Linked DNA regions of Kluyveromyces lactis. The protein of the gene in region 2 interacts with the protein of the main gene of each other region in a biochemical or structural test. Links are inferred from orthologs where the notes say so. Each region holds a gene or a part of one and is shown on either strand. Other genes may lie near its edges. The genes, in order: SLN1 and SKN7.

Region 1 (16,888 bases), about 830 kb from region 2:
TACATATAAATCTTTTTAAAAGCGAAAACTTACTAATCTGACAGAGTCTTGGGGTTCAGGTGCTAAAACCAATGATTCACGCAGTGACTGAAATAGGCCCGTAGTTTATTATTATCAGACAGTCGACATGTTGAACTGCTTATTTGTGTAAGATTTAAAAAATTGATAGTAAGGCATATGTATATATACATTAATAAGTTGGCTTGGAAACGGAAGGGGAAAGGAAAAGTTCTACGACCGGTTTGTATCTGTTTGCCAAACCTTTACATATTACCTCAATCATTTTTCTTTTCTTCGTCTGAAAGCTGGTGATGTACTCTGCGTGTCTCCACAACTCGAAATGGTAACGACATCTCACATGACGACGGTCTTCTTTGATTCTAATGCATGGATACGAATTGTCGCTAATCAGTACGATGCTTTATTGTAGAACTTGGCTATAGACTTAGGGATTTCATGACACTGTTGGTAAATATTGCTAGGCTTGATCCTTAACTTTTTTCTTCACTTTCGTTCCTGCATAATATGAATAACGAATGCAATGACACAAATTGTTCTGCGTTTAGTTTTTCTGCCTTAAGAAATTTCATAGTACCATAGGTTAGAAAGTAATAGAAAGATGGGAAGATGATGAAAAGGCACCCCGAACGTGTACTGTTCTGTTTGCATTAGCACAACTCATCAATAGTTTCTACGATTGTCTTGATTGATTCAATGACACTGTTCACACCTACACGTAAAATACGCTCGTCAACGCTTTCAAAATCACATATAAGTTTGGTGTCTTGCGTAGAATAAGTAACTTGGAAATCCTCTGGTTTCATGATGGGGTCTGGAAGCAGCACTTTCCTTGCTACATCAGCTTGTTTAATGCTTTCAAATGGTATTTCCAAATGTCTGTACGGCATTTTACATCACAACTTGTTAGTATTTCAAGTTATAAACTTGCATTCATAAGAGCCAGAAATAACATACAAAGAGTGCTCGAAAGACGTGTCTCCTTTATTCATCTTAAAAGAGTACTATTTATCCGCTGATTGAACTCACTACTGCAGCAAGTTTCAAGTGTGTATCATTCATAAAGATCTCAAAGTCAATAAGTTCATCCTGAACATGAACCACACACAGTACGGATGCGTTTTTCGAAGACTTTTTTGATTTCTAATTGGGTAAAAATAACAGAACATCAAGTTTGAAGGTAGTTTAGATCAAGCATGGATTTAAGTCTTTAATATCTGACTTACTATCAAAATGCCCGTCCTGGTACCAGGTGCGAAGATAATTTATTATCAGCTAAGGATTGGCAGGCCGATCTTCAAGGATAAAATTTTCTCATGGCCAGAATGCCTGACGAGTCTAACGTAACTAAACAAGAATTAGGGATATATAACGGTGTCTCATTTACAATTGTCACAAAGCTTTTAGCAGAAGGTGCTAAATCGTACCAACTTGGTTCGAAACTCTTAGATGATGAGAAGCTTCTCGCTAATAAGAAATTTGAATATTCGGGGGAACTGCTCATCGTAGATTCGGTGTTTTCAGGATCTGGCCGGGATAAAGACTGCGATTTCGCCACGAACGTCATAGCACAATTCTTTGAGCAGGTTATTGTCCCTTACCGCCTAATAAAAACTACATCCAAGTCATCTGTCATAGAACTGGCCTCGAGCATTGACAGCACTAGACAGTACACTGTTCTCTTTCTTTCTGGTGATACATCGATATCAGAATTCGTTAATAACCTGCCCTTGAACCACGACTGTATTTCAGTGCTTCCATTCCCAATGGGTACAGGAAATGCATGGGCAAGCTCTTTGAAGTTGATGGATCCAGCTGTCATATTCTCACAATTTGTCAATGGTAAGTTGTCCTGCAACGATTTCCCGTTGTATAGGGCAACTTTTGACAACGGTTATGTCCTTAAATTCTTCATAATTTTGTCACTGGGATTTCATGCAAATTTACTTCATCTCTGCGAAGAAGATGAGTACCAGAAAATGGGCATTGAAAGGTTTAGAGTTGCTAGCCAGCGAATTTTAAGAGAATACAAGCTCGAATCTCGCGTCTCTATTCCCGATATTCTGGAAGGATCTTTTAGTTATTTTGCGTTAATAAATACCACAAATCTGGAGCCAACTTATATGCCATCTCCCGATTCTGATCCATTGGAATCACAACTACATGTATTGGCATACCAGTCTTCTCTGGATAGAGTAGAATTCCAGAAAAGGGTATTTATGGGTTATTCAAATACGAAGCATTCAAACATCTTACAGAATGGAACGTTTTACAGACCACTGCCATTTTGTTTTAACGTCGAAGTACTAGACGATCCGTCACAAAAGAGCAACTTTGAAGTTTGCTGTGATGGGCAACTTCTTAACTTACTAGAGTTAGAGGGAAAGAATACTCCACCATCCACGATAAGAATTGAGACTTGTACGGAGCCATCATTAAAAGTACTACATTCTTTATAATATATTAAACCTTACATTATTGTCTATATAATTTCCAAATCATCACTTGAGCCTTCATCTTTATCGAGCCGCTCTTGGCTGCCTTTCATTATTTCATTGAAGATAGCGTTTCTCTTTTCAATTTTCTCTTTCAATTGTTTCTTCGAAGGTTTCAGGCTAACATTATCTTTCTTTATATTGCAAATATCCGTTATCGCCAGCTGTTTATCATTCTTTGGCGCCTTATTCTCTGTAGAATATTCAAGCATCTCTAAAGACGCTTTCCCTTTTGTTGGGTCATAACCAATTTGGTTCGCTAAACCATGTTGGAACATGCTCAACGTCGCAGTCTTTTTTGCTTCTTGATTGACTCGGTCTTCCTTCTTTGACAACAATTTGTCGGATAGACCCTTTAACTTTTTCTCCAAGTTTCGATTGTTTCTGAGTTCTTGAATTTTGCGTCTTTTGTTATCAAGGTTGGCCAGTATGTCAGGATTTTCGTAGTCGTCATCGAAAAACGCGGTAGAGGCATTTGCAGAACTGAAGAGGAATCTGTTGGTCTCTGCAGCTGCCGGTTCTCGTACAAACGGTTTATCAGGATTTTGTTGATATCTTATGGATGTTTTACCATTATTGTGTTGTGATTTTACAATAGTCTGTTGATATCCTTTGACAACTGGCGCTCTCATTGCCACAGAGCTACTAATTTCAACTCTTCTAGAACTGTTTTGCCTCATTTTTGCCTCTTTATGATATGCACAGTAGTTATCATGCAATTTGTTTATTGGCGCACCACATAGCTTGCCTTTGTTCTTCATGTAAAATTGGCACAATCCGAATTCCTTACTGTGACCTAGTTCCAGTATATTATTGGTGTCTTTACTAACTTTTAACGAAAATGTAGCGTAACTAGGGCTTGCTCCCGCTTCCAGTTTCTTGGAAGGCATTATTTCAGGGTTAAGTATAGCAATCAAATCACCTAATCTTAGTTTGTAATACTTTTCAACTATACTTTTCCCAAAGAAAATAACATTCAGTTCAAATTGGAAATCACTTATGGTTAGGCTGAAGAATTTCACCGGTTTCACAGAATTTGTCATTCTTGGTTCAGTTTTCTTTGAGATGATACCCAATACCAACCAATTGGGATAATCAGGTTCAGAGAACTTAGGGGCTCTCACCTTACTGAAGAGCTTTGGAAGTCGAAGCACTTTTATGTTTTTAGTATGTTTCCTAAGTACGGCCAACGGTACATACCTTCTGTCTATAACCAGACCACTCAAATCATCTTTTTCATCAACAGTAATTGGTTCATATTCATCGAACATGTCGCCATTGAATGTGTAAACTCGATGTGCCAATAATTCTTTCTTCCTTTTAATCGCTTCATGTTCATTTGTATTGATGGAGCGAAGTTTTTCAGTAAAGTAAGAAGTGGTACCCAACTTTTTGACCTTTTCCCTTACATAATCCTCATTAACATTAAATGTAGCTTCCTCTATATCTGCTACTGGCGCAATATGTTTGATATCCTCTATTCCTTTTGTAGCATTATCTGATTTCTTAGGAGACTCTGGAACGTCGATAGAATCGAAATTAGGGTCTTTGAGGTTTCTCTTCTTCTCTAGTTCCAACAGCCGGTTAGTTAAATCTCGTTTCTCAGTGTCAATTTCAACAATTCTTCGTTTCACTTTGATTTAATGATTGGTTATAATATGTTAGTAGGATATTCTAATGTCATTGATCTCGGTAACCATTATTATTAGAACATACCTCTTTCGATTTCAGATTCATCATCAGATAATTCCTCGTACGGGTCGAACGCCGTAATTTCTCTCGGGTCAGTTAGATCATATGACATGATGCATCTTCACTGTTACCTATACTCGATAGCTTCTGTAACTATTCTCGTTCATTCTTTACTTGTGGGATGTCATTATTTTGTTTTCTCGTTTGAATATCTGTGGAAAGTAATACTAGTATTTTTTACATGTTGAAAACGAATGGTCAAATAATGATACATAATAGAAAAAAATTAAATAGAACTTCGGTAATATTAACAGCCATAAAATCGTCTGGAGAATCAGGCTTCCTGACCATCCTCAGTATCACTTTCAGGCTCTTTGTGACGTTTCTCAGGCTGTTCTGTTGCGGTGTCGTCTATGGGTCTCTTATTAGGAGAAATTTCTGACGTTGAGAAGGGACTAGTGAATGTTGAATGAGAGCCAAATACAGGGGCCTGGAATGCTGCACTCATATTAGAAGTGTCATTCTCTACAGGTTTAATTGTGGACTTTTGTTGTTCTAAATTCCTGATCTTGCTTTCCAAAAATTTCAATTTCAAGGAAACTTGCTGTTTCCCTTCTTCGAAAGATTTTTGTTTTATTTCTGCCAAATCTGCTTCAAATTGCTTACGCATGGAATCCTTAAGTGCATTCAATTCTGCACGATGCTTTTCTAGAGTAATGGCATCATTTCCGATCTCTCCTGCCAATTTTTGGGCCTTTTCGTTTACCTTTTCTTCAAAGGACTCTTCTAAAACAGCTTTTCTTGCCTCAACTATTTTATCAATCTTTTGTTGAGTAGGTAACCTGATCCGTTTCTTGAGGGCTTCTTCTGCTAATTTAATTTTTTCCAGAGTCTGCTTCTCATATTCTTTTTCCCATTCATTCTTCAAAGCATCGATGTCTATATCCAAGGTAGGCTGCGAAGGAGACTGGACAGTAGTCTTTTCGCACTCTTCACGAATTCTCTTTTCTCTTTCTTCAAACTGTTTCCGGAGCTCTTCCTCTCTGGAATTCCAAGCAGATTCTTTTTCTGCCTCAAACTTGCTCCTCAATTCTTTTTCTTTATCTTTTATTAATTGTTCTTTTTCAGCTTCAAATTCTGTTTTCAAATTATCCACTATTGACTTCGTGTCTTCGTTGATAACTGGCGTATGATGTTCAGCTACTATTTTTTGAGCGTTGGAGGCTTCGGCTTCAAGCTCCTGTATTTTACTATTTAACATTTCCACAGTCTCAGTCAACGATTTTATTTTTTCATCTGAATCTGCATTATTCTGTTCGGTCTTGGAAGCATTTTCCATTTGAACCTGAATAGAATGTAGATCTTCCTGCAATTTAGATAATTGAGAGTTAAAAGTCTGTTCCTTTGTTTCTGCTTCTTGCGTTACCACTTGTAATCTTTCTTCTAACTCTTTGCAAGCGGTCTTACATTTTCCTAAATCGGCCTCCACTTGAGATTTAGCTTCATTGATTTGGTTTATTTCTGATGATAAAGATTGTTCCTTTTCCTTGGAGGCATTCAATCTATCACGTGCTTGAAGCCTAATTCTTTGGAACTTCGATTCCCAGTCATCTTTCTCGGCAATGACGCTTTGCAAAGTATCCTTGGTAGTTTGCAGTTCATTTTTAACATCGTTAATTTCCTCCTTTAGTTTACCATGTTCTTCAGGATCAATACGTTCATATTTATGTAAGATATCTTGAGAACGGCTTTTCCACCGTTCTGCTTCTTCTTTCGATTGAATGAGTTCCTGTTCTTTAATTTTGATACCATTTTGCAAAGAGGAAATGGACGACTGTAGTGGCGCCAGCCTATCATTACATTCTTGCAATTGCGACTTTAGATTGTCACATTCTTTCTTGAATGAACTATTTTCAGATCTTAGTGTAACGTTACTTTCTCTTAACAAGTGCAGTTGGTCAAGTTCTTTCATTATATTTTCTTGCTGCTCTAGCAAATGAGCGCTTTCACTGGAACTATTCTTAACTTGAGATAATTGAGTATTCAAATCTTCAATTTCTGATTTTGCTATATCAAGGCGTTGTTTTAGAACCGTTTGCTCGCTCAATGCAACTTCTAGTTTAGTTTCTAGCATGTCTCTTTCACGGCGCAAGCTGATTAACAAGTCACTTGAATCATGAGAGTTGTCACGATCTTCAGTCTTGTTTAGCAATTCAATTTGGTCGTACAGGAGCTTATTTTGGGTTGATAGTTCTTGGACTCGTTGCTCCAAAACGGACAGTTTATCTTCGTACTCAGTCTTCTGTTCATTCCATAATTTTTCGCTATTCTTCAAGTTCTCCATAGCCAGTTGGGATTGGGTTTTAAGTGTCTCTAGATCAGATTTATAGCTTTGCGCCTCAGTTCTTAGGGACGTAATAGTTTTAGAGACATCTGCATGCTTTTGCAATTCAAGTTCGTAGCTCCGTTGACTCTCATTTGCATATTGCGTTTGCATTTCTAGATCTTTCTGAATCATTGCAATTTTTTCTTCGTAGTCAGCCTTAGTTCGATCCACAGATTCTTTCACCATCTGAAGCTTACTGATTTCTTCCATTGTTGCGTTCCTCTCAGTTTGGTATTCTGATTTTTGATGGAAAATTTCGTTATTCAGGTCTTTCACCTGATCGTTGAGAATATTGACAGTACTCTGTAATTGATTTCTTTCGTTTTCTAGAGTGATTATTGTCTTCTGAGATTCCTTCTGGGCCTCTTCAAAGGCCTGGCTTACTTCATTAACGGATTGCACGGACTGTTCCGCCAGAGTTTTATGATGCTCTATTTGTGAATATGAATCAGAAAGTTGCAAGTTAACCTTTTCCAATTCCTGTCTCAAAGTCTCAACTAGGTTTTGAGCATCATCGACATTACTTAACATCGTATATGATTGTGCCCGTGCCTCGGCCTCCTTGAGTTTTGCGGATTGTTCATTGATAGTGGATTGCATTTTCTGAAGTTGAGCTTCTTTTTCTTCTAAGGTCGTTTTCTGTTGAGCTGCCTCACTAGTTAACTTATCAATCTTTTCTTGAAACCAATTATATTGATGCTCTTTATTGCTAGCAATTCCTGTGGTGTTTTTTTCAATTTCTTCAAGGCGTTCGAGTGAACCAGACAACTCAATTTCCAATTTTCTAAGCTTTTCCTTATAAGAATTCTGAGTTTCCTTGAGTAACATTTCTCTCTCACGTTGGAGTGTCTGAAGTTGCGCAATTAACACCTTGTATTCGACACTTTCTTTGGAAAATCTTTCGTTCTCTGCCTTCAGTTCCTTTTGAACCTTTGCCATAAACTGTTTTTCAGACTTCAAGATGGATAGTTCCGATTGTATAGATGACAAAGTGGATTTCGTTTTGATTAAGGAATCTACAGTCTCCTGTGTACGTTTGTCCTGTTTTGTTAAAATATCTTGTAGATCAGATGATCTTTTTTGTAGCTCCTCACATTGGCGTTTGGAAAGCTCTAAAGTTGATTGTAATAGATTTAACCTATCTTCTGCAAGAGTACGTGAAGTTTTCTCAGATTCGAAATTAAGTGATATTTCATATAATTTCTTACGCAGGTTGCTGTTTTCTGATGACCATTCCTTGGCATTATTCTCTGCTTCTTGAATGACAGCGGTGAGTCTTGTTTCGAGATCCTTCACTTTATCGTCATTATCAGGAGAAGGGTAAGTAATGGCCTTAGGTGTGTTTGTGCCAGAGCTAGCATTTACTGACAATGCCTTGTATGCGTCCCTCTCCTTTGATAGAATGACTAGTTGGTTTTCAAGGTTCTGTGCATGATCATGAAGTGTAAGAATGGTTTCTTTTGCCTCTCTCACCGTTTCATCCTCTAATACCTGGATTTGAGATTTGTTTTCAGCTTCCCTGCGTTCTAATTCATCAGCAAGATTGCGAATTGTAGAAAGAAGTTCGGAGTTTTTCTGCTGCAACTCAACTACTGATCTAAATTCTACTAGTCGATCGGTTATAATGCCTTGAGTGTCAGAGGTCTTTGTTATTTCTTGAGAGTTGGTTAGATTTTTGACAAATTGCAATTCTTCAGCGGATAATGGTCCGCCATCCTCTGACTTAATAGATTCGTTCACGAGTAAGTACTGTATCTGATGGGCAAGGTCAACACGTTGCTTAGATAGGGAGGCTATTTGAGTCTCATAGCTTTTCACAGTAGCTTTCAAATAATCAAGTTGTGACGACTTTTGATCACGGTCTTTGCCAGTTGACTCTAACAAAATAGTAACCTCATTTAACTCTCTTTCAAGCATTTCACTTCTCTCTTTGAAGGAATTGAGAACAGGGATTTTATGCTCTAATTCAACAACGAATGCTTCCACTTGCATTTTTAACTCGTCTTTTTGTCTTTTCTCAATAACCAGCTGTTTTTTGAGCATTCCCAAATCACCATATAACTTAGGTATGACAGAAACCGATTTTTCTGAAGACGCAGTGGTATTACCAACTTCGGAGTCTTCTAATTTTATGTTGGATGTTAATTCATCGATTGTCTCCTTAAGTTTTATGCAGTTAGATTCAGATGCGTCTAAACGATATTTGACCGCATTGAGCTCTTCAATGAGCTCGTCTCTTTCTTTTTCGGTGAAATATGATGAGTCCATGTTATTCTTTGTAGCATCCATTTCTTTCTTCAATGATTCCATATGTTTCTCTAGAGCATCAATCATTCTCTGCTTTAAAGACATCTCTTTCGTAAGCTCTTGTTTAGAGAAATTGTACTCATCTTTAATTTCTTTGTTCTCGGAAAGTTTTTGCTCCAGTTGTTCATGTAAACTGTGTACCGATTGTTTTAGTTTCTGATTACTGGTTCGAGCTATTTCCAACTCTGATTCCATATTCGATACCTTTAACTGAGAATCTTGTAATTCACTAATTGTGCTTTCTCTAAACTCATTGAGTTGTACGGTCTTGGTATTTAACTGATTGGTCAACCAGTCATTGTTTTCTCTCAATAATGTGATTTCTTGTTCCATCCTTAAAATCTCGCTTTTCGAACGTAGCTCTAAGGCCTGCTGAGTTTGTAGCTCAGTTTCAGTATTGACGACTTTTTGTCTAAGTTCCTTATTCGCTCCCTGTGCTTCATTCAATTTAGCTTTGGTAGAACTGAGTTCTTCAATTTTTTCGTTTAGTGACTCTGCAATATCTTGCTTAGAAGCGTCAGCAAGTTCTTTTTGTTGCCTCTCTACTTCTATTTCTTGTTCCAATTCTATGATTCTTTTGGTCACTTGTGAATTTCCTTCAATTAGACGCCTTTTCTCTTCTTCAAAGTGTAAGCGCTCATCCTTCCCATCTTCCAATGCCTTGGCTAGTTGAGAGATGTGAATTTTGAATGATTCTAGTTTGTTCTCTGATTGAGATTTTAATTGATCCAAGGTAGCAGTTATTCTTAGGTTTTCAGATTTTTGTTTCCGAAGATCTTCCAACTTCTCCTCAATCCTACCTAAAACATCATTATTAATGTCTTGTATCAGTTGCTGGTCGACTTGTAGAAAGTCTGCGACCCTAGAGGCAATGGGTTCTACGGACATTCTCAACTCCACAACACAACAATGGAATAGCAATCTATAAGACGCTACTTTTACCTAGTGTTCAAGCTAATCGCTATGATATTCAATTAGAAGTATACTAAAAATTTCTGCAGGTATACATGAGCATATACAATGCACATAGGCTTTGTTCTTGACAGGTAATTTTTGTTCAATTTCAATATTAGGTCCAATTCGGTGAAATTCAAAATAACGACCAGATACCACGAACTGACTGCAGAACGAAATACAGAAGTCGTATCTAAACTAACAATCAGGGTAACCGGTACCAGTAAAATTCTACGTTCCAAGTTGGGACGGTTTGCAACAACATCCGTGCACTATTCAACAGTGTGTCTGGGTGTATAAATTTCGGGGCTTGACAATTAAAAATGCATATATTCCTCAAAACGGTATTTTTATTTTCTAATTGCAGAAATCACTTCGTTTTTGCTCGTTGTCGATTCCTCAGGTTCACCAACTTTCTATGTACCAAACCCAGATTGAGGAAAGCAAGCAAGAATTCATACTCAAAGTATTTTGGATTATATCATTTAATCATACGCACTTAAGATAGCTGTACTTAGTTGTTGATTACTATCAAAAAGATCAGGAAAGGACAAGATTCAAAAATGCAAATGTATGCACAATATGATAAGCAAAAGGCATCTTATTTTGGGGTTTCTTGGTGATTCAAGACGGTTTATGCTACTTTGAAATGGGACGAAAGCACATTAGCTAAAAAACAACAAGACGAACTCGGATAACAACTAATGAAAATGACAAGGATTTACTGTGTTTGGTGTAACATATATCATGATAGTCGCTATCCTGTGAGAACTTGAGCGTTTCATTTCGGAGAGTGTGAGTACGCGGTCTAAACTGTTGAGTGAGATATATGTCACGATTTCTTCAAACGAAAGCAAGTACGCTTTGCAGAATGAATAAGGATACAAGGAAGCAGTTTAATGGGACCTATCACCTCCTAACTATCAAATGCACAACAATTCATACCTACAGAGGGAATTTTTTTTGGTTTTTTATTAAGCTTTACTAATCTAGCAAAATTAACTTGAACGTTCACTAATTCTAGGAATCGTCCCAATAAGATTGCCTTAAGAACTTTGTTCTGATCGAGTTTCAAACTTTTACTAACAAATCATATCTTTTTGAAAACAGTTTCGTCAAGACCTTGACTGGTAAGACCATCACTTTGGAAGTCGAATCTTCCGACACCATTGACAATGTCAAGTCTAAGATTCAAGACAAGGAAGGTATCCCACCAGACCAACAAAGATTGATCTTTGCTGGTAAGCAATTGGAAGATGGTAGAACCTTGTCTGACTACAACATCCAAAAGGAATCCACTTTGCACTTGGTTTTGAGATTGAGAGGTGGTATCATTGAACCATCTTTAAAGGCTTTGGCTTCTAAGTACAACTGTGAAAAGTCCGTTTGCAGAAAGTGTTACGCTAGATTGCCACCAAGAGCTACTAACTGTAGAAAGAGAAAGTGTGGTCACACCAACCAATTGCGTCCAAAGAAGAAGTTAAAATAGTCGATTCTGCTACCACTATGGAGTACATACATATTTACGCACATTCACTATCATATGTGTTTTTTCATATTAGCTTTACAGATCTATTATTTTGATTTAAATATAAATCTTCTTTAACATTGTTTAATATCATTGAACGTTCCTGAGCGTTGCTTTGTGTGACTGTCGGTAATGCACTGTACTGGATATTTAACACATCGAATGTATTAAGGGTCGGAAATATACATGTGTATGAGTACCTTTAAGTTTTATATAATGTTACATTCGCAAATCTATTCTTCTCTCTGTTTCTCTTTTTTCGAACAGTACTGTGCGATTATTTTCTTTAACAATGGTCTTTTAATGGGTTTTGGTAGGAAACCATCCATTCCACTTTCTAGACAAACTTTAATATTGCTATCATCTGCGTATGCGGTTAACGCAACAATGGGCCCTTTATATAATAGATCATTCCGGATCATTTTGGTAGCCAACAACCCATCCACCCTCGGCATTTGAACATCCATGAATATCATGGAGTAGGATTCGCCATTCTTTAAGATTTCTTCAACTTTCTCATAAGCTTCTTGTCCGTCACATGCCATATCAAGATCTGTGAGTCCTTCTAACTGAAGCATTCTTTTTATAACTTCCTGATTGACATTATTATCTTCAGCAACCAAAACTCTATGCCGAGTAACTTCACTTGCTACAGATGATATACTCCTAGTACTGGTCGCCGTACCCGTACTTTGTAAAAATGGTCTATCAACACGAACATTCCCAACGCTATTTTCAGTAGAATTACTGGCTTTTCTCTCACTGACATTGTTATCGCTATGTCCGTCGATACTAGATTTAGATTTCTTTGTTTGAACAGATTTCCTAGAGGAATTGATTTTAAATTTAACCTTTCTGTTCTTCCTGCTGTGAATATTGAACTCATCTTCAAACTGTTTTTCAGCACCATCGAATACTATCTCTTTTGTTTGCTGTAGTGGCACAGTGAAAATAAATTTACTTCCAACACCAACTTTCGAATCCAACTTCATTGTACCTTTCATCATCTTTGCCAACTGCCTACAAATGGATAAGCCCAAGCCAGTTCCACCGTATTGTCTAGAGAGCGTCTGATCACCTTGAACAAACGGTTCAAAAACAGATTCTTGAAGTGAAGGATCAATACCCGAGCCAGTATCTTCCACTTCCATACTTATAACCCAAGTCTTTGGTACCTTAAGATCTCTGAACGTATTCTCTTCCGTATCTGAATCCGTTGAAGACAGAACTTTCTTGAACTGCGAATGGAAAATTGCATCATCGTAAGAGCTTGAAGTACTTGTAGATAATATTGACATCTTTTCTTTTTCGTCTTCGTTTTCTTCGTGCTTACTTTCAAGAACAATGCTACTTTCATCGTTGTCATTGCCCTCCGTTGACGTTTCGGATTCGACTTGAATTGAGCCTTCTTTTGTCTTAGTTGTTGGGGAAGTTGATCCATCTTTAGTAGCAGTATTAACGCTGCCACTAGAAGAATTGAAAGGAAGCCTCATGGGAGTAGTTGAAGTTAAATTGAACTCAAAATCATCATTTGCTTCAGAACCAGGGACCACAAATACCTCTTGATAATCGACACTTTCACTCCTTTTTGAGTCGTATTCGCCAAGCAATTTGATCCTAACATCAACTTTACCATCAACTGGTGTGAATTTTAGAGCATTTGAGACTAGATTCATAACAATTTGAATGATTCTATTTGAATCACCCCATAATACCAAAGTTCTAATGAAATTTGGTGTAAGGGCAATGGACAATTTAACATGCTGATCTTTTGCTAGTTTGCCAAAGATGGATTTAATCTGCAAAGCAATATCCATAACGGAGAAGTCACGTTCCTCCAATTTTGTTCTCTTTAAGACATTCTTAGAGAAAGTCAAAAGTTCTGTTAGAATATGCAACAACAATTCACCTGATCTGAAAATCAACTTCAAACTGTTCTGCACTTTTTGCATATCAGTTTCTGCCATGGCAATTGCAGTCATACCAAGGATACCGTTTAGTGGAGTCCTCAATTCATGAGAAATGTTGGCAATGAAAACTGTTTTTGCTTCATTTGCAGACTCGGCCTGAATCTTAGCCGCTTCTAATTGTTTTGTTCTAGCACGAACTCTTTCTTCTAAAAGAGCATAGTGTCTATCTAGCTCATCTGTCATTGTGTTAAATGTATCTGTGAGTTCTGATAGTTCATCTTGAAAAAATCTTCTGTATACTGGGACATATGCTTCCACTAGGTTGGTTGATTTGATATATCGTTCGGAGGTATATGAAGAAGAATCATTAGAAAATGGGGTAGATCCAGTAGTAGCTGAACGTGTCAGGTCTCCGGGGCCTCTGGGTATAGTCTGTGAGTTTCTTGCGGAAACGCTTGGTGAATCTGTTCTACTTGGAGGGAAAACATTATAATTGTGATTCAGATAATTACTGGGCGTACCTTTGGTGACAGATTTGTTGAACAGCTTCATCACCTGGTTTTGGTTAGATGTGCTACGAGTCCTAGAATGTGTAATTGCAGTATTTGAATCTGAATTGCCAGTGTTGCTATAGTGCTTTAAGTCTCTCCCAGATGTAATGATTTCAGTAGCCTTCTGAAGTCTGACTATAGGTTGCACAGCCCAGTGTGCTATAGGGAAAGTCAATAAGCACATAAATACGGCAATAGCGCACACCGTACCAGCAATGATTTTCATAAGCCGTATAGTGGGAGACAAGAATACTTGTTCAGGTTGGGTAACAACGGCCACCCAATTTACAAGTTTAAAAGTTGGTGGTGAATACCCTACTGCTATGTTTCTCTCCTGAACCATATTTGTTTTCATAACTGAACCAACTTTCCCATTTTCGAATGCATCAGCTATAAACGTGCCGTTCTTAATTGGAAAAGTCACTTTTGAACTGAATGATGAGGTTCCATGCGGAGGGAAAACGAAATGATAACCAGTCAGTGAACTATTACTATCGAAAACAGCAGATAGGATTGATACGGATGACTTATCTAAAGCAATTGTATCATTTACAACAGCCTTTAAACTTTCCGCCGATGCAATGACAGTAATATAGCCGGCAATTTCGTTAGTATTCAGAATAATAGATGGATTTGTTGAAACTGGCAATGACATGGACAACAAGTAATTTGTCCAGTTATATACCGGATCTGTAACGATACCCGTAGTTAGTAGCGAAGAAGACAAAGGCTCTACGCCAGATAGAGGAAAGAGCTCTGCTAAAACGTTTTCCGGAATGTTGTCACCAGACCCATTATTGGTGGAGTTTATTACGGTGTTGAAAGACGTATCATAAACTCTAGCAGCACTGAACAAACCTGAAGAACCAAGAAACTTTTCTAAACTGTCTTCTGCAGAATTCCAATTATCTCTAGATGAATTACCAGCTCTAAAATTGACTAACGCATCTTGTAATGTGTCTCTTGTAGACAACCAATATATTTGATAGTATAAATAATTCAAGTTCTGATCAACTTGTGATGATTTTAATTGTGCTGCAACCTGTAATCTTTCAGCTCGTACGGATTTGTAGTTCGTTGTGAAATAAACCCCAGTAGTAACCGTAATGATTGTTAACGATAAAACGCAAATAGAGCACACGAGAATAATAAGTTGGGTTCGTAAACCAACATTAAACGGCGGTGTAAACCGTTCCCGAAGAGCTTTAAGACTGCAACGTCTCTTTAAGCCTGCCAACATCGTGAATTATTATCGTCCGATAGTTAGCATACGAGGTTGAAGTCTGGAATACAGGTTAGGTTGGTATTAATGACAGACAATTTACAATCCCCTCATGACGTCTCCTATCAAGAACCAATGAACTTCTTAAACTTTGATCTTTGTTTTCTTTTAATTCATCTAAGTTTTTCATTTTGTGAATGAGGATCTTTTACTAACATAAAGTAAGGGTTTAAACCTTGAAAAATGTCACAAGCCTGTACAGTAAACAAAAATAAAATACACAACTTATCAAAAAGTATCCTGTCTAAAGTGACATAGATTGTGATAGCCTATATGAACTGGGATACTTAGTTGAGACAAATCACTAAATGAGAAACCTTGGGAATAAAAACAGATTGAAATAAAGTCTCAGAATTGAATATTGTGCTATTGACATTTAGGGACTAAAATTGTATATTGAAGGCTCAATCTGAAAACAAAAGTTGGGCAACAATTCATACTTTTGAAAAAAACAACATCTAGTTACATCACTACATACACCAAATTGCAGCATATAAACGTACCCCGGTTCAAAACATCACTAAATCCAAAGCAGTGACTTTTGAAATGGTACTCTGCGAGTCAGGTTGCATGAATTCTTTACCAATGGATTGAATCCAAGCAGACGTCATTAAATGAGCCGAAAGAAACTGCTTTAATAATTCATTGATCTGGATAGCAGTATCCTTAACTAATTTGCACACTTGACCCAAGAAATCAGAAATTGACTGCGGAGAGCTTTCCTCAAGTATTGACGGTGAATTTCCTTCTATAGCGTCAACAATAGCATCGATCTCCTTATCTGCTGTCTGAATAACCCCAACTGATGAATTATACGAGGAAGTCTCGAACTTGCTGAAATAAAAGGTGACGCAACACCCAATCCCAACGCCAAGCGCTATAGATATTGGCCAAAACCACCATCTTTTTGCAAGATGAGGGGCCGGCTTCTTTTTTGCACCTTTTCTTGGTTTAGTTTTTTTAGGTATATCCGTCTCATAGTCAGAATCTACTTCAACGTATAGAGAGTGCAAATGCCGCAACAACCCGTGTATCTCGTAATGATCGGATATTACCACAGGGTACGACATCAATTTTATTTTGTTAGAGTTAGCAAATGTTTTGACCTTTTCCGTGACGCTTTGCTTCTGACCCTTTTGACATATTGGAATCAAAGTGAAATCTCCGTATTTCTTCCACATTCTATTTAGGATTGTAGTCACTTTCTTTGAATCTGAAAAGATTATCATGAAAGCAGTATATTTCAATGCTTCCTCTTTTGAAGCTTCGTTGAGTTTTCCGACGTCAAACATTAGTCGGTGATACCGAGATAGACGGTTATAGAAAGAGTTAGCTGAGTCTCCATCGCTCAAAATTAAAATCTTGAATCTTTTCATAGACTCCGATAAGGACAATTTCGGCATAACAAAAAAGCTGCCCGCCCAAGAATGGCCCAAATTGACCATTATCGTCTCATCTTCGCCAGTGCCAGCACCTAGTTCTGCTTTTGAAAATTGACCAGTTTTAGTCGATTTAACTGGATCACCGTCAGAAAACTGATGGACTGTAGTTTCACTATTTCCCTGATCACCAAAACCTGTTGATGATAAAGGATAGGCTAGAAATTGGTTGTGCTGCTGAGAAGCACTCAAATTAGGCGAAGGAGCAGCATTAATTTCAACCTCTTCTTCAGAAGTGTCAGATGATAACACCCCGCCAAATTGTTGATTGAAGTCGCCATTTGAGGTATTATGATAGTTATTATGATTTCCAGCATTTAAAAAAG
Region 2 (16,183 bases):
TTCCGGTCCATTACATCCAAACAGCACCGTATCATTCTCCAACTCCTCTTCTATAGCATGGAATGCCTCTTCTGTCCCATTGAACATTACTTTGTCAAATTCTACATTAGTTGACGAAACTTCTCAATTGGAAGAAGTCGGGTACGCATGGGTCATGATTGTTTCCTTTAACCCTGGCTCTATCTTGGGTGGTTCTGGTACTGAATACTTCATCGGTGACTTCAACGGTACTCACTTCGAACCACTCGACAAGCAAACTAGATTCCTTGACTTGGGTAAAGATTATTATGCTCTACAAACCTTCTTCAATACTCCAAATGAAGTAGACGTCTTGGGTATTGCTTGGGCTTCTAATTGGCAATACGCTAACCAAGTACCTACCGACCCATGGCGTTCATCTATGAGTTTGGTCAGGAACTTCACCATTACTGAATACAATATTAATTCAAACACAACTGCGTTGGTATTGAACAGTCAACCTGTGCTTGACTTCACTAGTCTGAGAAAGAACGGTACTTCATACACCCTTGAAAACTTGACGTTGAACTCTTCATCTCACGAAGTGCTTGAGTTTGAAGACCCTACCGGTGTATTCGAATTCTCTCTTGAGTATTCCGTCAATTTCACTGGAATCCATAACTGGGTCTTCACCGATTTATCCTTATACTTCCAAGGTGACAAGGACAGCGACGAATACTTGAGATTAGGCTACGAAGCTAATTCCAAGCAATTCTTCTTGGACCGTGGTCATTCCAACATCCCATTCGTTCAAGAGAACCCATTCTTCACTCAAAGACTCTCAGTTAGCAATCCACCTTCTAGTAATTCTAGCACCTTCGATGTTTATGGTATCGTTGACAGAAACATTATCGAACTTTACTTCAATAACGGTACTGTCACTTCCACTAACACTTTCTTCTTCTCCACAGGTAACAACATCGGCTCCATTATTGTGAAGTCAGGTGTTGACGATGTTTATGAAATCGAGAGTTTGAAGGTGAACCAATTCTACGTTGATTGATCGATACCCTTTTGATTCCAATTGTGTGTTTCCATCAATTATTGTGAACATGTTTGAAGTGTGATCTCAAACATTAACAAAACTCACAGACTATTTTAAATACCCCCAACTTCTTCTACGGCCCTTGCAGGTTTCCAAACAGGAAAGGACTGTATATGGCTCCCGACCTTATTGGTCGCCTGCTTTGTTTTTGAGTTCCTCTTATGTTAAAAGCTTATGTTATGCAGTTTTAATTTATATTTAACAACAGTTCTAAAACGAATTTTATCAAAACTAAATTGACTTCTTGATACCATCAGCGAGTGGTTATTAGCAGTTTACCATGTAGTTTCTATGATGCTGCGCTACTACCTTTCATTGTGCTGGAAAAGCCTCACTAGTTGGTTTCTGACACCTTGGAACAACTGAATCCTTTTAATGGATGGATCTGACAATAAGGGCAGATCCATTGCTATAGGTCGGGTACTTTCTTTTCGACAGCCAGTAAATGTCTATTATAGAAGTTGAATAAGTGTTTAAGTACTGCTCTTGATTCCAGTCCCAGCTGCCTTAAAATCCTGACTTGATGAATTGATCGTAGTCTACAACATTTTAATTCAATTCCAACTTAAGAGACTCAAACATGCAGAATAAAATGACTTTTGAAGTCGTCAAAAGCAGCTACAAAACATAAACTAACGAACGAGACTGGTATTTGTAATTTCAGTGCAACCTGGGGAATGATTACTGGAATCTTCAATGGTATCGGGACTTTTACTGTATTCAAAATTATGGCCATCTGGACCCTTGATTGGACGAACAGAGTGAAGGGTTTATGATATGCATGAAATGTCACACTCGAGAGCGAATCAATTCTATGTCAACTTAACCTCAATTAAGGTCTATTTCTACACAGTATGGCGTTTGAATCTATCTACCTGCGAATCCTGTATTTACTTGGTAGATGGAGAAGCTATACAGCAACTCATTAAGGATACCGTGCACACTGTTACAAGAAATACTGATGTTTGGAGACCCCAAAGACATCAGTCATTTAGACAGACTTCTGAATAAGCTCCACTCTTTACAGTAGAACTGCAGGATTTACTACTTGCTACGTTGTCTTTTCCCCTAGTATTGATGTTGAACATGTCCCAGTAACATTTCATTGATAGGATCCCGGTAATGGGCTCTTATCAAAGATTAGGTAGAACAATGAAAAGTGCTTACAAGGTTTAAATATATAAAAGGAACAACAAAGAACTGTGGGACCATTCCGATGACACACGGTAAAATTGGGTAATTGCCATCACATAATTACTACCGGTCCTTGACACCTACTATCATCAGCAGAGCAACTAATCCCAATTTAAGGTATTACTAAGAATGACCGACTCTCGTATCCAGACATTCCACACAGCAACCCTTTCAAACAACACCAAGGTTTGGTATAGGGAAGCAGGTGATAAATCTAATCCATCAATTGTCTTGTTGCATGGATATCCCACTTCTTCAACTATGTTTCGTCACTTGATCCCATTGATTTCTGATAAATTTCATGTCATTGCACCTGATCTCCCAGGGTTCGGATTCACAGAAGTTCCAGAAGACTACCATTACTCCTTCGATAACTTGGCTGCCACGGTCAGAGAGTTTTTGAAAGAGATCAATGTTACTAGGTTTGCCATCTACGTCTTTGATTATGGGTCTCCAGTCGGATTCCGTTTAGCGTTGAAGGATCCCTCTTCCATCACAGGTATTGTTACTCAGAACGGCAACGCATACGAAGAGGCACTTGGAGATGAATTCTGGGGTTTTATCAAAAAGTACTGGCAGACTACCCAAACTGATCCAGTATTTGTTAAGCCACTTTCTCAGTTTATAGCTGATAGAAAGAATGTCGATGACCAATATTTCATTGGTGTTAAGGACAAAACAGCTATAGAACCAGCTGCATATACCCTTGATTTTGCTTTGTTACAAAGGCCAGGCCAAACTGACATTCAATTGAAGTTGTTTCACGATTACCAGAACAATTTGACCATTTATCCTGCAATTCACGAGTTTTTAAAAGCTCATCGGATACCTGTCTTGGCAGCTTGGGGTAAAAACGATTACATCTTTACTCCAGAAGGAGCCGAGGCTTTTGGCAAACATGCCCAAAAATTCAAGTTGACCCTTTTGGACTCTGGACACTTTGCTTTGGAAACTCACGTCCAGGATATTGCCCATGACATTAATACATTCCTCCATGACAATATAGCTTTATAAGTTTATAATTGATTAAACCTTGCGCGATGAAGAAGAAAGCATAGAGACAACTAAGCACAAAATTTCAGTTAATGGAGAGACTGAGAGCTGCACAGTGATGATAGTTTCTGGTCCTGCTACATTCCTTTTCAGAATGGTTTTTTGATTTAGAGTATATATATATAGGGCGATGTAACTTTATTAATAAGATGGTAAAGTGCCAACAAGAATCCCCAAGAACACCAAAATCATCATGGAGAAAAGACCCAAACGATACGTCTGTCCCATAGAATCATGTGGTAAGAAATACTCGAGGCCCTGCTTGCTTCGACAGCACGTAAGGTCTCATACAAATGAGAAACCGTTCCATTGTCCTGAACCTGGATGTGATAAAGCGTTTCTAAGGCCCTCACATCTAAGAGTACATATGCTCAGCCATTCCAAGGTCAAACCATACAACTGTAGTGTGTGCGGTAAGGGATTTGCCACTAAACAGCAGTTTCAGAGACATCAGCAGACGCATACGCAGAATCAAGACGACACTTCGACTTACCAATGTGGATATTACGGCTGTCCATTTAATGCTCCCTCAAAAGAGGCATTGAACGAACATGTATTAGAACTACACCTTATCCACGAAATTCTCGACCAGAACCCACCGTTACAAACCCCTCCACATTGGGATAACTTGCAATGCCAGGATAGCAGCTGTAGTGGGTATCCTTCTTTTCAATCCAGCCTGGAACTACTAGAACACTACGATGAGTATCATATATATATACCGGAATCTTTGCTAAAATACTCGTTCGAAGAAAATATAAATACATCATCATCAGAGTATTCTGCAGACGGATTATACACGGATCTTGAGTAACCATAACTAAGTGCCAGTATATCACGTCCATTATCCTCTTCTGTATAGGTCAGATAATAATATTTCGGACAATAGAACCTTAAAACTCAACATTTCCTTAACGTTGTCATATCTAGAAAAGACGAAGCACGCTTTAGTCTAGCAACCCATTGAGGCATGAGTTTCAAGTTTGACGATAATGGAGTGGTCAAAACGTTCCATGGTAACACTATAATTTGCCATATACCGCAGCAGACTGATTTCTTTAATAGGTTATTGGACTTTTACAGGTTCGCTAAACGACTATCGTTCTATGACAAGATCACCCTGCTTCCACCTTCCAGTTACCATGTTACAATCATGAATTGCTGCCACGAACACGATAGGTCAGTCGGTCATTGGCCTACGGGGCTTGGTGCTGATGCAAGCATTTCAGAGTGTCATAACCATCTTGCACAATTGTTCAAAGATGCCAATTTTAGAGACCAGGGAACTAATCCAAGCGGTGTTGAACTGAAGGTCCATATACCACCGAAAGACGAACTGCCTTCGAGTAAGCCTCGGTCCATTAATGTAATTGTAAAACCATCGAATACTTCCCAAGAGACAGCCATCAAACAGCTCAGGGATTCCATCTCTGCATTGACTGGTCTTGAAGATCCATCTCATGATTCTATAAAGTTTCATATCACATTGGCCTACATCAATGAAGAGCTAAAAGATTCTGAAGTGGAGGAATTGAACTCACACCTTGGAAATTTACATTGCATTCTGGACAGAGATTGTCCTGTTGTCCAGTTGGGAGAACCTGAATTTGTTACCTTTGAAGACATGTTCTATTTCCACTTAGTGACAAAATTGTAATATGATTAAAATTAATGCCTGTGTAATACTGCCTTAAGTTCACTGATACTGGAGAGTCATATATTCAGGCAACACCATTTCAGGAATCCAGCTTCCAAATAGCGTTACAGAGTAACTTAAAGTACAAGTGTCAATTCTCAAAATAACATGGTATCTTAAAAGTACGTAACTCCAATGCAACTTTCACATTCTATGATGATTCAACTCAATAATCTTAGATGGCATACCTAGTATCGCTAATACAGATCCAATGAAGCTTATAAAAAGAATTTAAACTGTTTAGAATGATATATTTACTATGAGGCGGTGCATAAGAACTTTTTCTCAGACAATTAGCTCATCTAATTGAAACCTGATGCAGAAGTGAAAAGAAGGACATATATAATTTCCTCATTGTTTAGAGCTGCTGTAGTCATTGGCTGAATAGTAATGATTATATTGTTTTGCTATATTATCAAGTTATCGGTGAATTAAGACATTTCATTGGTTTCAGGTAAGGCGGACGAGAGAAAGTTATTAATCATTATAAGAAAACCATAAATCTTGGCGTTCACTATCTTGGTCGGACCTCTTATTGGTTGAAACCGACCCATCTTACCTTCGTGATATCAAAGTGCAAACGTAACATCTAAACTCTTTTCCTTGAAGATATCCCACCATTGTTTATTTGATGACCAGCATTCTTCCACGATATTTCTAGCCTGTTCAGCACTTGATACACCCTTTTGAATCAAGGAGAGCAGATGCTGCAGATACAATGGCCTATAGTGATGTAATTCAGGAGCCATCAATTCACATCCACAACTGAAAATACAAAATATAATACATGTCTCAGCAGAAGAGCCAAACTCAATCCATGTTTCTATCAATTCAGTGATATTTTTCACTAGTTCTATCACTATTGGACTAGACGGAGGGAGACCCAACACTCTACGTTTCAACTGTAACACACCTGTAAGGGAAAATATCTGGTTCGTGGCCCGAAGAATTCTATACGCACCATAGCTTTCCGTTGTGATTGCGTCAGTCTTGGAAAGATAATATGACTGAAATATCTCGTTTCTCTTCAATTCGCTGGCCTTTAAATATGAAACCATCTTATGATCGAGTTCCAAAGCTCTCAAAATAAGATCCTGTGGGAATATATTGTTAGTAGCAGTTTCTTTCTCGTTAACCAGACGAGAAATCTCAGCTAACAACCATAGGCATATTACTTCCATTCCTGTGAAGTACTCGATATCTTTTAATAACATCATCTTCTGCATCAAGCTGTCCTTAATAGTGGTTTCCATTTCGTACCGCAAAGTGGTAAGTTTATGAATATTGTTAATTGAATTCGTTGAAGATAAAGACGAAATGATGTCAGTATAAGCAAACCATCTTAAAAGGAAATACTCTTGTTCCACATCTGCACTGTTATTAGACAACATTACTGATCCTGTATCGTTAGAAATCCTTTCCTTCATGATTTTCCTTGCGCCATAAACATGCGTTCTCCATTTTTGTTTCTTATCACCAAAGAAGATGTCGAAAGCAGCTAACAATAGAATGGTAGCCAAGGTTGAATCACTATTTCTTGAATCAAAATTGGTTAACTGACCCATAAGGTTGGTGAAAGTATTAATCAACAAGTCATTAGCCACCAAAGAGGAATCTCCATTTGATAACTCCTGGTATTGTAGAATCTTATGCTTATGGTTGGCTCCAAACACCAACAACAAGTTCATTAATGCGGTGTTACTCATAGCCATGCGGGGTAAGAAATTGAAGAATGGGTTACGGGTATAAATTGAGCTTGGGGCAGGAACCAACAATTTTGAAGTCTGGTTCACAAAGAAATCAAACGATTCTGCCATCTCTGGTGACTGCAGTAGGAGATCAGGAATCATCAAGCTTGGAAGTGAAATAGAAGGCATAAAGAATTCAAGATCTAGGCTTTGCACAAGATCGTCATCATCGTTGTGAAAACCACCGATCCGCTGGCTGCCGGCGATACTATCGTCCAATTCATCCTTGGACCCATCGAACAGAGACAGAGAAAGAGGAGACAGTGGTGTGGACGAAACAAGAGCCATATTGACCCGCTGTGGAGAATTACCCTCTTCCTCCACTCTCTCTATCTCAATCACAGGCTCCGATAAAGGCGGTTTCTCCAGCTCCTGCACCAGCTCTTGTAGCTGCTTCTCCTGAACTGGTTCCTCCTCCTTTACCACCACAGTTTTCTTGGTTATCATCTTCTTGTTCTTCTTGACTTTGGTGGCCTGTTTCCCAGTGGCAGCGTTCAAATCCACCGCACATATTCCCTCGACAACATAAGTATGCTCAAACTTCATCTTCTTGGAAACCCTATTATCCTTAAACGGACGACCGCCCCATTTCAATGTACGCGAATAATCACATTGGAAGCCTCGCTTCTTACAGTACCCGCAATGGGGTTTCACCTCATCACATTTCTTCTTCAAACTCTTACACTTCTGACATCCCATATAAGACCTAGCAACTTTCTTCATCTCTATAGTACCAACCATTTATTCAACAATACCATCAGGAGCAAGGCAATAATCAATGGCTGAATACAGGACACGGTCTTTACCACTTTACCCTTTGTCTTATTGGTATTGTAGAAGAAATGATGATTCATTTCAAAGCTTTTCCTTTAAAATAATGACTATAGATAAGGAAATAATGAAGCTTTAAAGAGAGAACAGTTTATAAGAGGGAATAGAGAAACTATTTGAGCTACCTGATCCGTGCTACATAGTTGCTAGTGACACATAATCACGGTAGGTTGTATTTAGGTTATTTAGTTCAAGTCAGCAACGATACGGGACCATCCCTTGTGTTCTTTTCTGCCATATTGGATATCGGCAATCCATTCAGCCACTTGCTTGGTCAATGGACCACATTGTTCACCAGGCAACAATGGCACTTGGATATCGTGACCGTTCCAGCCGATTTCCTTGATTGGAGACACGACAGCAGCGGTACCGGAACCGAACGCTTCGACCAATTCGCCCTTGGCAGCTCTTTCTTCCACTTCGGTGATAGTGTAGTAACGTTCAGAGACGATCCACTCGTCAGAGTTCAAGTTTTCTCTGGCCAATTGTAGAATAGAGTCTCTAGTGACACCTTCCAAAATGGTACCGTCCAATGGAGCAGTAACCAATTCCTTCTTGCCGGTCTTGGAGTCCTTGAACACGAAGAAGACGTTCATAGTACCGACTTCAGTGATGTTCTTTTCTGGACCGAACAACCACAAGTTTTGTTGGTAACCACGTTCAGCAGCTTGCAATTGAGGCAAGATACATGGTGCGTAGTTGGCACCAAGCTTCTTGTCACCAACACCACCTGGCCAAGCTCTAGTAGCATAATCCGTAGCTTCCAATCTCACGGCTTTGAACCCAGTCTTGTAATATGGTCCCACTGGAGATGTGATCACATACAACAAAGCTCTGTCTGGAGTACCAACACCCAATCCGTTAGTAGTACCAATCATTGTAGGTCTGATGTACAAGGAGTAACCTTGACCTTGAGGCACCAAATGCTTGTCTTGTTCGATCAACTTACCGATCAACTTGATCAACTCATCCGAATTAAAAGATGGCAAACAGATTCTGGCTGCTGACTTGTTCATACGTTCCATATTCTTATCAGCACGGAACATGCTGATCTTGTTGTCTGGGGTTCTGTACGCCTTCAAACCTTCGAACAATTCGAAAGCATAGTGGAACACACACGAGGATGGATCTAACGACAAGTTCCCGTATGGTTTAATCTCTGGGACACCCCAACCGTTTTCAGCTGTCCATTCGATGGTTAACATATGGTCAGTGAAAGTTTGACCGAAAACCAACTCATCGTTTGGACGTGGCTTCGATGGGGTTTCGACCTTGGTGATTTTAACCTTGGATGCGTCTAAGGACATGGCTCTATAACTTGTTAAAATATGACTCTTAATACCTCTTGATGGAATGGAAACTCTGCTGGAAACAGCTCTTGCACAATTCCGTAGTCCAATGTAGTTCATGAATGTTCCTTGCCAGGGATGAAATAGCTAGGACAAATGATACAGATGGTGACAATAACGGGCCAAACAAGAACAGAAACAAGACAAATGCCCTTCTTATCTGCCTCTTATATACATGTCATCAGTTGGTTGAAACTTTTTTTTTTCACCTCAGTCTATGCGTATTATCGAAAAATGGTCTCGAGAGACAGGAACCAGGCATCCCACCTGTTGCCGAGGGCAGATTGCCGGTTGCATTTCCTACAAGCCGGTATTCTGTTGCTTAGTGTTTCCAGTGATTGACTCACAAGTTTCAATTCCACTTGTACTTGGTTCAGACTTTGCTTCGGTAATCTTCGCTCAGGTTCGCTGCACATGCATGACTCACCAAGATAGTGCGATGATCTCTCAGAAACAGGTATTGAGAACGCAGGTGAAAGCCATGTTGAGAGGCCTTTCGCAGGCTGAATTGGCACGCCAATCTGAAATTGTGTCCCGTCATGCATTGTCACTTGTCAACGCCAAGGGTTTCACTCACATTGCATGTTTCTTGAACATGGACCATAGCGAGATGAAGACCGAACCATTGGTAGAGTCTCTGTTCAAACAGGGGAAAACCGTTTACTTGCCCCGGTGTTCGTCCACTAGTGTATCGAAACAGGTTGACTTGAGACAGGATGGTGCATTGAAACGGCCACATCTTGTGTTTTACCGTTTCGATTCGTTGGCTCAGGTACAGGCGTTGCAACCTCAGGGCAAGTACAAGCTAAGAGAACCTGTACGAACTGACCCTGAACCATTGCCCACGCCAGCATTAGAAGTTATCCTGATGCCCGGCGTTGCGTTCTGTAAGAAGAACGGGGCTAGAATGGGCCATGGTGCAGGTTATTACGATGATTATATCTCAAGACACATCCATTACACTGGGAAAAAGCCGTTGCTAGTCGGATTAGCCCTCGAGGAACAGTTGGTGGACGACGTTCCCTTGGAACAACATGATTACACTGTGGATTGTTTGGTTTGTGGTGACGGTACCGTGAAATGGTATACATAGAGCAGTGATGTGTAGTTAAAATTATAATAATGTATGTACTTTGTGGGTAAAATAATCTAATTCAACTTGAAATTGGCTTTACCTCTTACTAGAGGTCTTCTACCCGACTGGTCCAACAACTCGGCTTCTATTTCGACGTCGTTCTTGCCCTTTTGCTCCCATTTGGTCCTTCTAACGACAACGAATTGGTTGGCCAATGTGGGGAAAGAGTAGTTTAACTTCAACCGTTGCGTCACTTCGGCTGATTTGCCAGTCACTAGCTTTACAGAGTCTCTCATAGTGTCTTCAAGAACAGTAGCTAGTATACCACCGTGAACCAAGAACGGATACCCGGTTAGTTTCATTCCTAAATGGTACACTGACACGGTATCCTTGGTCGTTGGATTGTAATAGATTCTTGGTGGTATACAGATGGCACCGGGGGCACGCAAGGTCTTGTCAATCAACGTATTCGTCGCGTCTGCGTCCGGCTGCTTGTACACGGCAACGTACCCCTTGGAGAGAAGCTGCTTCACTATCGATAAATTGTCACATCTTTGGTTTAACTCATCTCTGTAATCGATTAGCTTGGAGTCGGTATCCGGTAACTTCCCGTAGAACCACCATGCCATGATATCAGTAAGTGTCAGATGTTGTGTTGTAAACCAACCTATCCCGAAACATGTACCGAAGATCAGCACATTGGTCCATTTCCGGTTCGATGAGGGTTTCTTTACAACGAATTTGGCTTGTCTTGCTGCTGCAGCAATGCTCTCACTTGTAGCGTCCGTAGAAGCCCTACGGATAGTGTTCCTTAACAGCGGATCTCTAATAATTCTGAACATCTGTTTCTCGTTTTCTTGCAGGTGTTTTAAGTCTTATATACGCCCTTATAGATGTGCTTCTCTCATGAACGGAGTATAGTCATTGGTTTAAAGGTTTGTCTAGTTAAGAATCCTTTAAATTCTGTTTAGCTTTTCATGCTTACTGTGGAGCGAATGAAAGATGGAGATAGAGAAGTGGCAAAGAGGGATCTAGCCCCCCGCTGCTAGGAAAACTCTGTAGGAGCATCTAACAATACTAGTAAATCCACAACCATAATTCCCCTGTTAATTTCCTTGGCCTGAAGTGATGGTTCATTTGAAGCTAGAGACACTTCGGTTGAACGATGAAGATCAGAGCACCGGGTCCAGCTTGATCACTCCTAGCCGAACCCAGCTCTGCGATGAAGTGGTCCGTTGGTGGAAGGAAGAACCGGCTGCCGAAGATATGCTGATAGATACGTTGTACGAACATTTGATCCGACGACGCTCCAATTGGTCAGTAACCAAAGATGAATTATACCAAGCATTGAAATCGCATAAATTGTACACTCCAGAGTTGAACGAATTGGACAGTTATACTGGCGACATCAGACCCAGTACCGTTACGGATGCTGATATTGCCCAGTTGAATAAAAAATTGTTGGATAAAGTTACCATTGCTGATACTGAGTTTGGGAAAGGATTAGTAGCCACCGATGATATTAGGAAAGGTGGATTGGTCTTCCATGAACAGTTACCATTGACTGTGATTCCGCAATTGGACAAGCAGCCTTTGGTAAGTAGAGGTAAATGTTGTGGTTTGTGCTCTGCTTTCACCACATTGTCATCACAATTGATCATCAAGAACAATTTGGATTGTAACATGTGTAACACCATCTGGTGCTCGAAGCAGTGCAAGAAACTAGACACTACCCATTCCGTATTGAAACATGCCACTTCTAGAAACTCATTATGCAATAGCTCCAATTGGATCAAGTTCGAGAATTTCTGTTTACAAGAAAGTCTTGTTGCCGCATATGCCGTTGGTGTCATCTATGCAAGGCATGTGATGCAGCCAACATCCAATTTGTGGAAACTCTTCACATCCTTGTGTTCTGTTAGTCAGAGAGTACGCTGGCAAGCTTCTGATTCCATCAATGTTGGTGGTACTTTTGATGCGTCATGTAACGGTAAGCTGTATGCGGATGTCTCAGCACCGAATATGGAGACACAATGGTCCGATGCGTTTGAAATGTTCGCCAAATCTTTCCCCAAATGTGATATGGACTATGAAGATTTCTTAAACCTCACAGGCACCTTCAATTTGAACCAAATTATGGGTCAAGTTTACCCTTTAGTGGCTCATATTAATCATAGCTGTGAACCTAATGTAAGGTACGAATTGGAACCAAAACATGGGATTAAATTATACGCTAGAAAGGATATCAAGAAGGGGGAACAGTTGCGTTTAACTTACGTGAATCCATTGCATGGTGTCACCTTGAGAAGAAGAGAACTAAGGGTTAATTATGGATTCCTCTGTCATTGTCCTCGTTGTTGTCAAGAATGGGAGAAACGCCAAAAGATAGTCAGTGACCCGTCTAACCACGCTATATCATCAGAGGCTGCACATTCATCTACCACAGCAAGGAGGAAATCCTCAATGAAAAGTTGCAGACCAAGTCTCAAGGAACTTTTAGAAAACGGTGATGAGTTCGATCTAGAAATCCCATCCGATGTCAATTCCAAGAGAAGAATGTCTGTGCGATTCAATAGCCATGTCACACTGGCCGTCGAAGAAGAATAAAACTCTGCTTATCATACTCGAATGAGCATACATAATATACCTGTACGTATACACAAATATACTCATCTGTCAACGTCATAAAAGATCCAACGAGACGAAGATTGAAAGATAATTACTAAAACCAATAATTTTATAAGTAATAAGAAGGATATAGATACAACTTTACCGTACTTTTGATCGATGTACCATCAATAATAGGAAGTACAGAATAGAATTAATAACCGAAAAAGCACAGACCAAACGTATAATAAAAGAGGACTTTTTTGGTGTTTAAAATAATGGAGAAAGAAAACAAACAAGAGTTCTTGAAGTGAAATGAAGTGTCCTGTTTTCTGGCCCATTTCTCTTTTTATCTTTTTTTTTGATAGCAGCATGAAGGATACCTTAACTGTCTTATATGTGCGGTTTCTTTAGCATTGGTTCCTCTACATACGCTTTAGGGTCATTATTAGAATTTTGTCTTTGTTCAGACAACGGGATCCGATCTTTGAGGTATCGTATTAGCATCGAGTGTAAGTCATCTTTTGTGAACGGTTTAGCTAGGATATCATTCATACCGTGTTGTAAGTAAGTGACTAAGTCCTGATCATCGATGTTACCTGTCATGGCAATGATGGGAGTTTCATTATCAAAACTTCTAACAATGGATGTCGCTGTAGCACCATCTAAATTTGGCATAACAATATCCATCAATACCAAGTCAAATCGCTGTTTTTCCAGCGTGGAAATGGCAGATAATCCATCAGTAACCACTTCCACTGAGCAACCATATTTTCTTAAGAATTTGGAGCAGAGTTGGATACAAACAGAATCGTCTTCGACAAGTAAAACGTGGAATCCTGGACGCAAGACAGGATGTTGGTCCATCGGAAGTAGCTCAATGGGTTCCTGTTTCTGTAACGTAGTATTAACCGACAGCCCTGGGATATTTGCATTGGGTGTTGATCCGGTTGAGTCCGATATTTGACGTTGCTGATGAGACTTATTATCCGCACGAGAATTACCTTTTTCGAAGGATAAACCTACGGGTACTTTTAAACCCTGCTGCGATAACGCATCGACAAGAATTTGGAAATTAGAAATTAATTGGGAGTTAAAGGATTCAGTGGAAAGGAGACTTTCCAACGCCATATTGTACTTAGACTGAATCTTTTGAAGGTCCAGTTTCATATTATGATTCTCATTTGTTAGATACTGGACCTGGTTTTCCATGTCTTCCACCTTCCGCTTTAATTGGTTGAATTTGGTCTTGTTCACCGTGTTTTTCAGAAGCATCTTCGCAGTCATACCTTCTTCGTCACCGGCAATGAAGGCACCATCGTCTCCGGGTGCACCACCTAGTTTCCTCACTATTACGGAGTTCTCATCCACCAGTATTTTCTTCTGTGATGACGGTTTCCTGCGAATGTTATCCAACCCTGCCTCATCGTGTCTTCTAAAATACTGATGGTTGAATTCCCACGCGTTTTGAATCCCCTCAGACACTTCGTTCTTCTTCCTCTTGACTTTATGGAAGTCGTACTTGTTCAACTGCCTCACAAAACTCGCAAAATTCGAATGCTTGAAGTGTTTAGGCAAGATATCCGTCGTAAATTTATTCGTGTCTAGCACTATAAAATTCTTACCATCAGGCGACCACGATATAATGCTGGTATATTCCTCTGATTCCAATATTAGAAACAATTTTCTAACAAAATCATTGAACGACGTCCTTTGACTCTTCCCCTTACCGTTGGAACCAGACCCTCCAGGCACAGAGCCAATTCCATTGTCGTAATCGTCTTTATGGCCCTCACTCAATTGTTCACCTAAATCATCCATTTTTTTTCGTCCGTTCTTTTGCTCGTCCTTTGTTCTATGAATGAATCTGAATCCAGCAGAAACTCTCTTACTGATACCGTCAGTGTCAAAGTGAACCAAGTACAACTAAGCCCGTAAAACCTAAGCCCCAGATAAAATCACTTCGCTAAAAAGAAAACCTGTACTCTTGGAACAAAAGAAACACAATTCAGAAGGTTAAATGCCACACGAACAAACGGCAACAGTGATACAGTCCGTGATAAACCACAACCAAGAGGCACAGACGTCTGCTATTTAAACAGTTTGACGTTGTGTTTGTTATCGTCATTTCGGTTCGTGTGTTTTTTTTAAACCTTTCTGGACACAATTTTTCATGAACCCAGAAGAAAAAGACGAGCAATTTCGGTGAATTTGGCAACGGAAAGTGGTAATTTACTTCCGGTAGAACTATTATTTTTGAATAAGAACTAAATATTTAAATAGGCCTGATTATAAGGTACATAGTAATGTAATCCATGTTCGAGGTTAACTACCGGAAGTGTTACTTTTCTGCTGTTTTGTTGTGTCTGGTGTTTCCCAGTTTTTGTCTTTTTTTTTTTTATACTTTACAGGTTGAATTTCAAAATGAAATAGTAGCAAACGATGCGATGAGATGACGTTTCTTGTTGGTACCACCGGCTCTATTCAGCTGCTCGTAACTCTTTGAGCACGTATTACAAGGGATATGTCGGTGCAAAAACAGGAGCTTCAGATTTTTAGTGACCATTCTGTGCTTTCCAGGCATCTATTCACAGATTCGTCATCCAATTTGGTTTTGGTGACAGATACGGTAGCGACGAATGCATCCTGGTTTGTCAACGCACTTGTGGAAACGGTCACTTTAGGTGGGCCCGTCTCTTTAAATGGGAATAACAGTGGATCCAATAGCGGTTTGAGCAGCAGTGATCCCGTGAAAGTGGTAGTCGGATCGTTTTTGAACCATCAATCGTATTTTACAACTGCATTTGACAGGTTGAAGGTACCACGGAATAGATACAACGTCTTACAAATAGCAGAGGATCTTGTTGTCAAAAACGTAGGTAAACCTGTGGATGTAGTTATTGAATGGGTTTTGAAGCAGTTTGAAGAGTCGTTATCCAACAGTCCTTCAGTGGTAATATTGGAAAAACCGGAAATTTTAATGGCACTCTTCAAGTTGAACAGTGACGAGTTGCATTTGAAATTGATCAACCCTTTACTTAAACTATGTTCCTTACTTATAGTCGTCAACTCTGTGGAGTCCTTCGATAACGATTTCCCAGAACATCTGGGTAAGGATACCGTCGAGTTTGTAAGGTTTACCACTTCATGTTTCCATAAAAGTTTCCTAGTACTGTCGGTGAGACCCTTGGACACCGGTAAGGCCAAAGACGTGACCGGAACGTTGGCTATAACCCGTGGTGGTGCCTTGCTGGATATTCCTGCACTACACGTTGTGGAAAACCAGTATTTGTTCCATGACTTGAAGGAAAATACAACACTATTTTACAGATGATGTACATGAATAAATACTATATACTCTTCTTAAATCCTTTAATAATGTCGTCTAATGTGAACTCAACTGCACAGCGGGTTTTTACCAATGAAATGACAGGCCATGTGCTCTCCTGACCACATTTCATCCAATAGTTTATATTATCCAATCGTCCCTCAATGATCCGTGACACGCTTAACGAGTTCATGTGAGGCACAATGGCTACTTCCGTCGCACTTCGTGGAGTCTTTTCA

The links.
Region 1: of the proteins of SKN7 (region 2) and SLN1, one has a biochemical effect on the other in vitro, tested with the Saccharomyces cerevisiae proteins (3 studies listed by BioGRID). The link is inferred for Kluyveromyces lactis from reciprocal best matches to the Saccharomyces cerevisiae genes SKN7 and SLN1.

What each region holds. Positions count from the first base shown.
Region 1 is NC_006037.1:48,765-65,652, forward strand, and holds SLN1 (histidine kinase), read right to left. Parts: upstream 15,082-16,888; coding exon 11,614-15,081; downstream 1-11,613. Other genes in the region: chromatin DNA-binding EKC/KEOPS complex subunit PCC1, read right to left, coding at 669-897, 976-1,010; KLLA0_A00550g (uncharacterized protein), read left to right, coding at 1,335-2,477; MCM10 (Mcm10p), read right to left, coding at 2,501-4,146, 4,230-4,317; MLP2 (Mlp2p), read right to left, coding at 4,540-9,786; RPL40A (ubiquitin-60S ribosomal protein L40 fusion protein), read left to right, coding at 10,416-10,423, 10,963-11,341; mitophagy protein ATG32, read right to left, coding at 15,633-16,888. UniProt on the Saccharomyces cerevisiae protein: Histidine kinase that acts as an osmosensor at the plasma membrane.
Region 2 is NC_006037.1:895,185-911,367, reverse strand, and holds SKN7 (kinase-regulated stress-responsive transcription factor SKN7), read right to left. Parts: upstream 14,438-16,183; coding exon 13,010-14,437; downstream 1-13,009. Other genes in the region: beta-fructofuranosidase SUC2, read left to right, coding at 1-1,021; KLLA0_A10395g (epoxide hydrolase), read left to right, coding at 2,387-3,271; FZF1 (Fzf1p), read left to right, coding at 3,504-4,124; KLLA0_A10351g (uncharacterized protein), read left to right, coding at 4,281-4,967; KLLA0_A10329g (Zn(II)2Cys6 transcription factor), read right to left, coding at 5,576-7,495; branched-chain-amino-acid transaminase BAT1, read right to left, coding at 7,771-8,994; FAU1 (5-formyltetrahydrofolate cyclo-ligase), read left to right, coding at 9,152-10,027; FMP10 (Fmp10p), read right to left, coding at 10,084-10,851; SET5 (S-adenosylmethionine-dependent methyltransferase), read left to right, coding at 11,138-12,616; Elongator subunit ELP6, read left to right, coding at 15,141-15,950; and 1 more. UniProt on the Saccharomyces cerevisiae protein: Transcription factor that is part of a SLN1-YPD1-SKN7 two-component regulatory system, which controls gene expression in response to changes in the osmolarity of the extracellular environment.